Caenorhabditis elegans: one gene and its partner. The protein of the gene in region 1 interacts with the protein of each later gene in a pairwise test. Each region holds a gene or a part of one and is shown on either strand. Other genes may lie near its edges. The genes, in order: K12H4.3 and C15A11.4.

Region 1 (4,392 bases):
TTATTCGAAATTTTCAAACTATAATTGTTTTTTTAACAAATATTATAAAACACAGAAAATGATAATTGACAATTACGATTCTCGTCCAGCCGTGTTTCCCAATTTCTCTTTCCATGAGGTCTCTCTCTCACGAATCGCTATTCTCTTTTTCGCGATGTCTCAGCTTGCGCATTTCGTGGATAGTTCTACTGACACATTTCTCGTAACTGGCGCATTTCTCGACTCTATTACGCGTATTTATTTTTCGTATTTTGCAACGTTTTCTTATAATTTTAAAGCCATTTGCTTTCAAATTTATGTATTTCAGTCATCGAAAATTATTAGAATATTGTAGCCAAACAGAAATATTATAATCAATCTAAAAATATACGTTTAATTCGTTTGGCTCTTTGAAGGCAGAAGTGACAGAATACAATTAAGTTAAATACGTTTAATCGGATTAAGTTTTCTTCAAAGATTACACTGAATATGTGAAATCATTTATTGATTTAGTAATATCGTTTTGTTTTTGTCTTCTCTGAACAATTAACCCGTTCCACCTCGTATTAAATTAATTAATTTATAATGTGATCCTTTTTTTGGCATGTCGATTCATTATGATATAACTTACTAATTTCCGAGACTTTCTTGCTTTATTTTTGGCATTATTAGAGGATGTTACAGGGTGATGATCAAGTACCACGTGTCGCGAAGCGCCCGACTCTGGGCTTACTGGAGCACCCTGCCACATCGAATGCTCAAGAAATACCCGGAGCAAACTATCTTCTACGCGACTTTCGGAGTAGCCACACTATTGATTGGCGGATATAAAATGAAGAAGTACTTGACAGAAAGTGATAAGCCATTCTACCGCGGATACTACGACGTCGTCCGTTCCAACGACCCAATCGCACAAAATTGGAGAAAACCAGAAGAATATCCAGCACCGTATCTTCTTTCAAGTGTTGAGACAGCTCATTGATCAATCGTCCAAAATAATCAACGAGAAGCCAATAAGTCGTAGACGATTTTCGATTTTCACTGTAAATTGGACACATTCGGTGTTTTATTTTTTAGAAGAGTTTTTAAAATGTAAATGAAAGTTTTCCTTTTTAAAATTTGTTTTCATTTGTCTACTGAAGTGTTTCAGCCACAACAATTATATTTTCTATATGTATTTATATTAATTTTATTTTTCATTTTTATCCAAAGTTTCAGGCTGATTCGAGCTCAAAGATGCACAATCTTCTGTCTCGTGCTAACGCACTCCTAGCGTTCACTCTTTGGGTGATGGCCGCAGTCACAGCAGCTTGTTTCCTGTCAACAGTTTTCCTCGACTACACTGTTCCAACCAAGCTCACTGTCAACGATGTCAAAGTGTAGGTTTTATAAGAGAAATAAAAAAATTGCGAAATTCTTTCAAGCGTTTCTCCGAAAACATTTTAAACGTATTTCTGTAAATCTTATTCCATTTTCAGGAGAAACGTTGTCGACTACGCCACGGATGAGCAACAAGCCGATCTCGCCACACTAAACTTCAATCTGAAAGTCGATTTTTCAAAGATTTTCAACTGGAACGTCAAGCAATTGTTTGTTTATTTGGTTGCAGAATATAAATCGAAAGTCAACGTAAGCTTTGGAAACTTTTATTGAGGATCGAAAAAAACTTCTTTTTTTTTGCAATTGTAGGAGGTTAACCAAGTGGTGCTATGGGACAGAATTGTGGAACGTGCTGACCGTGTGGTTATGGACGAGATCGGTGTCAAGTCAAAGTATTATTTCCTCGACGATGGAACCAATTTGCTTAACCACAAAAATGTCACCTTTGTTTTGAGGTTTGAATTGAAAATTCGATAAATAAAACCAAATATTAAAATATTTAGATACAACGTGATTCCAAACTCTGGCTATCTTCGTCTTGTTCAATCTTCCGATCAAGTTGTTGTTCCGTTCCCAACCACATACACAACTACTCGAAGATCCTAGTTACATCTTATTTTACTTGTTTCATATGAAATACTATGGGTTATGTGTTTCATCCGTAATTTATTTAATTCATCCGATTGTGAGATATTTCTTAACTTATTTTTGATTTTCTTCACCACATTTCATAATAAGATTTAAAAATCCGGGAATTAAATTAATTTTTATTAAATGTCTTGGTTGCTTTCACCCTTTGCATATTTACTTATTTTCGTTTCTCTCTTCCATATTATTTTAAATTACAACCTTCAGGATCAGAAATAATGGGCAAGTTCTCGAAAATCAAGAAAGTTCAAGAGGAGGAATCTGCGCACCAGAAAATGGAATGGGAAGCTGCCGGAGCCAAGGACTCGAGCTCTGATGATTCTTCTGATGAATCGGTAAATCTTTATTAGCTAGTTTAATTTCCAAAAGGTTTTTTTGGAACAAGATTCTAATTGGAAAGTCTAAAAAATTTATTTTCAATATCTAATACCATCTTATTATTAATTGTAACATTTTCAGGACAATGATGATCAGCCAAAACAAGCAACTGAGGAGACCCGTAAACGCGCGGAACTTTGGACAAACCGCGAACGTGTACTTGTGCTCTGTTCCCGCGGAGCCGACGTTCGCACCCGTTATTTGATGAAGGACATCAAGGATTTGTTGCCACATGCAAAAGGAGATTCGAAGCTGGATCAGCAGAAATCTCTGAATGTTCTCAATGAGATTGCTGAAATGAAGAATTGCACAAAAGTAATGTACTTTGAAAGTCGTAAGAGAAAGGACACTTATCTCTGGATGTCAAATGTTGAGAAGGGGCCATCCATCAAATTCTTGGTGCACAATGTGCATACAATGAAGGAACTCAAAATGTCAGGAAATTGTCTGAGAGCTTCAAGACCAGTCCTTTCATTTGACGATGCTTTTGATAAGAAACCACAATTGAAGCTTATCAAGGCCGTGCTTATGCAGGTAATTTTGTAAAAATTGAATTTGAATAAATATTTTGTTAGAAAAAATTATAATTTTCACAAAATAATTTCAGACTCTTGGAACACCACATCATCATCCACGCAGTCAGCCATTTGTGGATCACGTCTTTAATTTTTCTGTTGGAGAAGGTGATAAAATCTGGTTCCGCAATTTTCAAATTGTTGATGAGAGTCTTCAACTTCAGGAAGTTGGTGAGTATATAGTTTGAATACTTTTTATTTACATGCACAACATTTTTCTTCAGGACCACGCTTCGTTTTGGAAATGGTTCGTTTGTTCGCTGGCTCATTCGAAGGAGCCGTACTGTACGACAACCCAAACTACGTCTCTCCAAATGTGATCCGCCGTGAACACCGTAAAGGACAACATTCGTATATCGAGAAACAGTTGGCTGTGAAAGCATCAAATATCAAACAAGCTAAAGTCACAGAAATTCTCGCTGAAAAGACTGTTGATTTGGTTGGAAAGGTACGATTTTGAAAATAAAAAACATGAAATTAAAATCAAATTTGACAAAATACAGTCATAATATTTACTATAAAATTATTATACAATTATTTCCAAGTACCACAATCGATTTGAACGAGTTTTTAATTTATCTTCCTTTCCAGGAATTCGATACACAAAACAATGCCGCTGCTGACTCAGAGGCTGCTGCTCAGATCACTGCTCAAATTGAGAAACGTCGTGTTCGCAAGAAGAAGAGCCAAGCATCAAAGTACACTGGATCCGATTAATTTTTGTTGAATTTATCACATTTTTGTTGTTATTGTTGATTTTTTATCTCAAGCTACTCTGTTGTTTCTTACTCTGATCTTTTTATGCCTTTTTTGAATAAAAAATTATCAAAGCGAAATTCAATTGTTTTTTTCTAAATATGTGTCAAAACCAACTCAAATTTATTATTTTTCTAATTTCTCGAGATGCTTTTGTCAAGAATATGTCGTTTCAGAATGCTTACACGATTCACACGACTTCGTCCAATTCTACAGTTACGATATCTTGCTCAAAATTCGCATATCGAAGAGGAATATTTCGAAGAATTAGAGCCAACTGGAATCATTTCCAGTCACGAAACAAGTCAAGAACCTCCAAAACGGACAGGATTCAGAAGCCAGAATTTGTCAGAAGACGCTGATTTTGTAGAGAATGTGGTCGGAGCTTTGACTGATCAAAGAGCAAAAGATGTATTTGTTGTAAAATCAGAAGAAACAGAAATGACACCGTATACACATAAGGTAATTAATCCTCGTAATTCAGTAAGGAGAAAATTAATCTCATATTTTCAGATAATTTGCTCAGCATTCAATTCGCGACAAGCTTCAGCAATTTCTGAAAATCTTCGATCTCTTCTAAAAATTGACGGAGTGTCGAATGGATCCATGTCACATGCACGAAGGAGCACAAAACGAAGCAATGGATGGTATGTCAGTGAGGTGGAAAGAGTTCAGG
Region 2 (4,830 bases), on another chromosome or scaffold:
GAAATTGTTTTAAAGAAACTTTTATTGGAAAGAGTCTATAGAATAAATATATAATTTTAAGCTTGAACATGACGTCTAGCTGCAACCACACGCTTCTTTGCAACACGCTTCTTGGCAACAACACGCTTCTTTGAAGCAGCTGCACGATGACGGTTGACATTACGATGACGAAGAACAGAACTACGAGTTGGGCAAGGACAATAAGCAGCATCGGATCCTGGTGTTCCATCATTTCCTGGTGCTCCTGGCTGTCCATCTTGTCCTGGATGTCCTGGTTGTCCATTTGGTCCTGCTGGCCCTGGTGGTCCAGCTGGTCCTGGAGCATTCCCGCTTCCTGGTTGACCTGGGGCTCCTGGTGGTCCTTGTGGTCCTGGTGCACCCGATGGTCCTGGAAGACCGCGTCCACGTTGTCCAGATTTTCCTGGGCTACCAGGATTTCCTGGAGCTCCGGCCTGTCCTGGTGATCCAGCACTTCCAGCTGGCCCTGGAGGTCCTGGTGGTCCCTGACCTCCACCTTGTGCTGGGGCTCCTGGATTTCCATTTGGTCCCTTTGGTCCAGGTTGTCCTGGAACTCCAGCTGGTCCTGGAAGTCCTTGTGGACATTTGATGCATTCTTGTTTCTGATGATGAGATGGCCCAGCAACACCAGGCTGTCCTGGTTTTCCAGCTTGTCCTGGTTGTCCATCATGCCCCTTATCTCCTGATGCTCCTGGTGGTCCTGGTGGTCCAGCTGGACAATTGGATGCTTGTTGACCACAATTGCATTGAGATTGCTTCTTTTGACGACGACGACCAAAGACGCTACGAGCCATACGGACAGAATCATCCTGGTTTATCATTGAGTTCCAAGCATCATTGGCAAAGCCCTTCAAAATTCAATTAAGCAAAATGTATTTTTTTCAAACTTTAATTTAATAAAAAACTAACCTTGAACTCTCCCAATTCGCGATGACTGTCTTCAACAAACGAATTAATGTCGGAATAAATATGGAAGACAGAGATCAATGCTCCAAATACCACAATTCCGGATAAACCGGCCATAACCGAAAGAAACGTTGCTGAAGACATTCTACCAGGTGAATGACTGTGTTCCAACAATTTTCAGTCACTCCTTTTAAAGCAATAGCCATCACTTGAACTGTTCAGATTAGGTTCACAGTGTAAAGTTTCGAAAAAAGGACAAGAAGAGAATGGGTTCCAGAGAAGTTTGCTGTAATCTGTTGACTTCTTTGTGGCGATGTTCATTAAAAAATATTATACGTTCCCGAAGAGACGCAAGTCATTTTTAAGATTGACTGGTCAATTCAATTTTCTTTCAAGTTCAAGTTCAATTGTAAAATGTATCACATTGCGGAAGTTTCGCAGAAATCCTAATTTTGAAGAAGAACAATTTTGGCAATCCTTCCGGTAACTGAAAAAAGAAGATTTCGAGCTGTGACATTTTATTTGATGATTGGCTTTGGCATTTTCATTTCTGCGTCACTGCAATTAATAAATATTGATAAAATTTGAATCGTTCAAAAGTTCAGATTTCAAAATAGTTGAAAATAACTCAACTTGTTGCATGATTACAATTTGCAACTATGTTGTTCGAAGAAAAGGAAGAAATTATGACGAATGTCATGATATTATTACAAAAGGGCTTTTTTAGAGACAGTTTATTTGTGTTTTGTTGTTCTGATCGATGTGTTCAAAAGTCTAAAAGAATATATTATAAATGATGACAATTATTCTTGTCTTCTTCCAACCTAGACTGTCGTCTATTTCATTCCCCAATTGGTTGCTAATGCAGCTTTATAATAAACAGGAACCCGTTTCATTTGTTATCTTAATTCTATAAAGCTTTTATTTTTTGTTTTTTTCTCGTATTCTGAAATTTCTTCACCTGTATTTATTATCTCCACAACCAAAGGTAAGAAAATCTAATATTCACTGTGATACAAATTTCTCCGAATCTTAATTCCAGAATGTCGGAAAACATTTCCACCCCTGATGAAAAAACAGAATCATCCACGGAATCAAATTCTAAAATACTAAAATGGTGCAAGAAATATCTACTAGAAGGTTGTTCTTTTTTCTGAAAATATAAATAATTTTCCGATTTCCAGGCCAGCAGCTAGATGAGAAACATGCAGAAAAAGTTCAAAACTTTCCTGAAAATCCAACAGTTTCTGATTTCGTTTTTATTAAATACCGAAAATTTGTAGCAGTTTTGATACCGTTCTGCTTTGTACATGTTGGTATTTTTAGTAGTTTTTAATTGCTGCATAAGGTTCGTGTTTTTAATATATTATTTTCATTTGCAGGTTTTGTGGTGGAGCACGGCAATCCGTTACAACTTTTTCCACCTCTACAATGATTATTGGCACATGCCAGTTACTATGATTTTGGGTGCATTAGTAGCTGGAATGACTGCTGAAGGAGCTGGAGCTGTTGCATTTCCGGTTATGACATTGATTCTACATTTAGCACCTTCAATTGCAAGAGATTTCTCTCTTATGGGACAATCTATTGGTAAGGCTGGAATGGAATGAGTCGCTTTGCAGCATTGTGAGAATATTGATTTTTCGTTTCTGGACCGGTATTTATTAGGAAATATGCATATTCATCGAATGAGTTTACTGTAAAAATTGTTACGAATTTCTGTTTTATGTTTCTGAACACATTTTTAAAATGTAACACCTGCTCAAACATAGAAAAGTAAGTTTTCTAGAATTTCTACAACTAAAAATAACATGACTGAGCAAAACTTATGCAAATTATGAGAACAAACTCGATACAATTATTTTTCTCAGGAATGATGTCTTCACTTGTTTGCGTGATTTTTATGAAGGTTCAGTACGAATCAATGGCTGTGATTTTTGGAGTACTTGGTGCTATCCCGGGTTTCATTTTTGGAGTTCATGTTGTAAGTTTGTTCATAAAATTATCCTCTCCGTATTATCCTCTCTGTTTTTTTGCCCTAACAGTCACTCCATTGCAGTTTGACCCTCTCTTCACTGGAGCACAGAAGAAAATGATGTTCGTATCAATATGGACCGCATTTGCTTTTGCTCTCGGACTACTGAATGCTCAAAAAAAGAGGCCGACATTTGTCAAAATTCCAGAATTTTGTTTCTGGAAAGGTCTTCTTCTGTTCTTAACAGGTATTGTTGGAGGAGTCTTTGACGCATTTGCTGGAAGTGGAATTGATATTTGTATGTTTTCAATTGTGACCCTATTATTTCGAGTCAGCGAAAAAACAGCTACACCCACAACTATGATTTTGAAAGGTGAGAGAATGTTTGTAACTCCTAGAACTAAGTATTCCTTTAGCCTTTTCTATCAAAACTTATTTGGAGTATACTTGACACAAAAGTACAATAAAAAACTGTACAACTTTAAGGAATCGTCTCTGTGTTTGGGTTCTGGTATCGTGGGGTTATGATGGGAGACATATCGGAAACTGCATGGAATTATTTTGCTGTAACAATACCAGTAGTGGCAACAATGGGTAAATGAAATTCCCTCGAATTCTGATGTTTTACACCACTTTTACATTGTTCATAATTTAGCACCAATTGGTTCATTTCTTGGATCTCATCTCCATCGACAAGTCATTGCGGGGCTCATTTATGTGTTAGAATTGGCATCTTTAATTGGTTTTCTGCTCACAAATCCCTCGTGGGGACTGATTTCCGCAGCAGGTACGTTTTCCCTTCTCAAATTTTTTCCGAGAAAACCAGGATATTTCAGTTACAATAATTCTATGCGGTTTCGGTTTTTTTGCACTCATTGCCAAGTCTGGTGAAATTTTGATGAGAAGATTGGAAGAAAATAGTGAAGAAAAACAGGAGAACTTTGAGATGGTTGCGTGAATTAATTAGTTATTCTTGTGATATTTTCCTTGGTGTTTATTTATTTATTTATTGGAAGAAAATTCTATGAAACTTTTCCTTGTTTTAAATAGCTGTTATGTGTTCCTCAAAACCTTATTTTGAAGTTTTAACAAAAATAATAGTGTCTGTGAGGATTTGCATACTGTTTTTGAACAAATAAAATTGAACAAGAACAAATTATCTTCATTTTAAGGTATGTTCAATTTTCTGATGCAGTCACTTTCAGAAAAGAATGTTGATTTTTCCATTTCTCTAACTTTTCCTTCAAAAACGAATCTCAAAAAGTCTTTCTACATTTTTAAAAGATTTGTTTGTTTCACGCCCTGTTTTCCCACGTACTTTATCCGCTTAAAGTGCCCACTTCAATGGATTTGTTTTTCACTTTCACTTGTAGTAAATCCATATGAGTACTACATCATAACTCTTCCTCCTTTTTTCGACTTCTTCTTCTTTTCTTTTTTTCTTTTTCCGGGTGTTGACAACATCGTCATGATCCTATTCAACAATCTTCTCCTCCTTTTTTAACACTAAACTAATTTCACATCGGGAGCCTCCAGATTTGATTCTCCACTGGAAAGAATCTTCAAATATTATATTAAATTGTTCCGTTTCCAATCTCAAATATTATGTATAGTGGGGAAGATTGCTGTTTGGTTGCAGTTTCGTTTCAGAAAATAAAAATTTTGAAAGTTTTTGATTGAGCAACTCCATTCAATTTTGAAGTTTATTCGAACTTTCCAACGGATTAGGTAACAAGTTGATAAAAATTTAAATTAAAAACGTTAAAATAAAATATTTTAAAATTTGTTTGGTCAAAAAAGATTTTTTTTTGTATTTGTAAGTATCATAACGAACTTTGTGAATTTCAGAACAAAATCTACAACATTTCGGTATAACTAATATTTTCCAAACTAACAATGTTCCAGAAAATTTTCCTAATAATGTTTCTAGT

What was found.
Region 2: the proteins of K12H4.3 (region 1) and C15A11.4 interact in a two-hybrid assay, tested with the Caenorhabditis elegans proteins (one large-scale study listed by BioGRID).

What each region holds. Positions count from the first base shown.
Region 1 is NC_003281.10:8,043,820-8,048,211, forward strand, and holds K12H4.3 (Ribosome biogenesis protein BRX1 homolog), read left to right. Parts: upstream 1-2,214; 5' UTR 2,215-2,225; coding exon 2,226-2,342; intron 2,343-2,466; coding exon 2,467-2,919; intron 2,920-2,992; coding exon 2,993-3,131; intron 3,132-3,184; coding exon 3,185-3,408; intron 3,409-3,551; coding exon 3,552-3,677; 3' UTR 3,678-3,793; downstream 3,794-4,392. Other genes in the region: K12H4.5 (uncharacterized protein), read left to right, coding at 668-961; spcs-3 (Signal peptidase complex subunit 3), read left to right, coding at 1,216-1,358, 1,458-1,608, 1,669-1,814, 1,863-1,965; mals-1 (Mitochondrial Assembly of ribosomal Large Subunit), read left to right, coding at 3,894-4,178, 4,230-4,391. UniProt on the Caenorhabditis elegans protein: Required for biogenesis of the 60S ribosomal subunit.
Region 2 is NC_003279.8:7,397,935-7,402,764, reverse strand, and holds C15A11.4 (uncharacterized protein), read left to right. Parts: upstream 1-1,741; 5' UTR 1,742-1,912; intron 1,913-1,966; 5' UTR 1,967-1,967; coding exon 1,968-2,064; intron 2,065-2,108; coding exon 2,109-2,236; intron 2,237-2,306; coding exon 2,307-2,514; intron 2,515-2,795; coding exon 2,796-2,908; intron 2,909-2,983; coding exon 2,984-3,272; intron 3,273-3,385; coding exon 3,386-3,493; intron 3,494-3,554; coding exon 3,555-3,686; intron 3,687-3,735; coding exon 3,736-3,857; 3' UTR 3,858-4,055; downstream 4,056-4,830. Other genes in the region: col-7 (Cuticle collagen 7), read right to left, coding at 57-866, 928-1,068.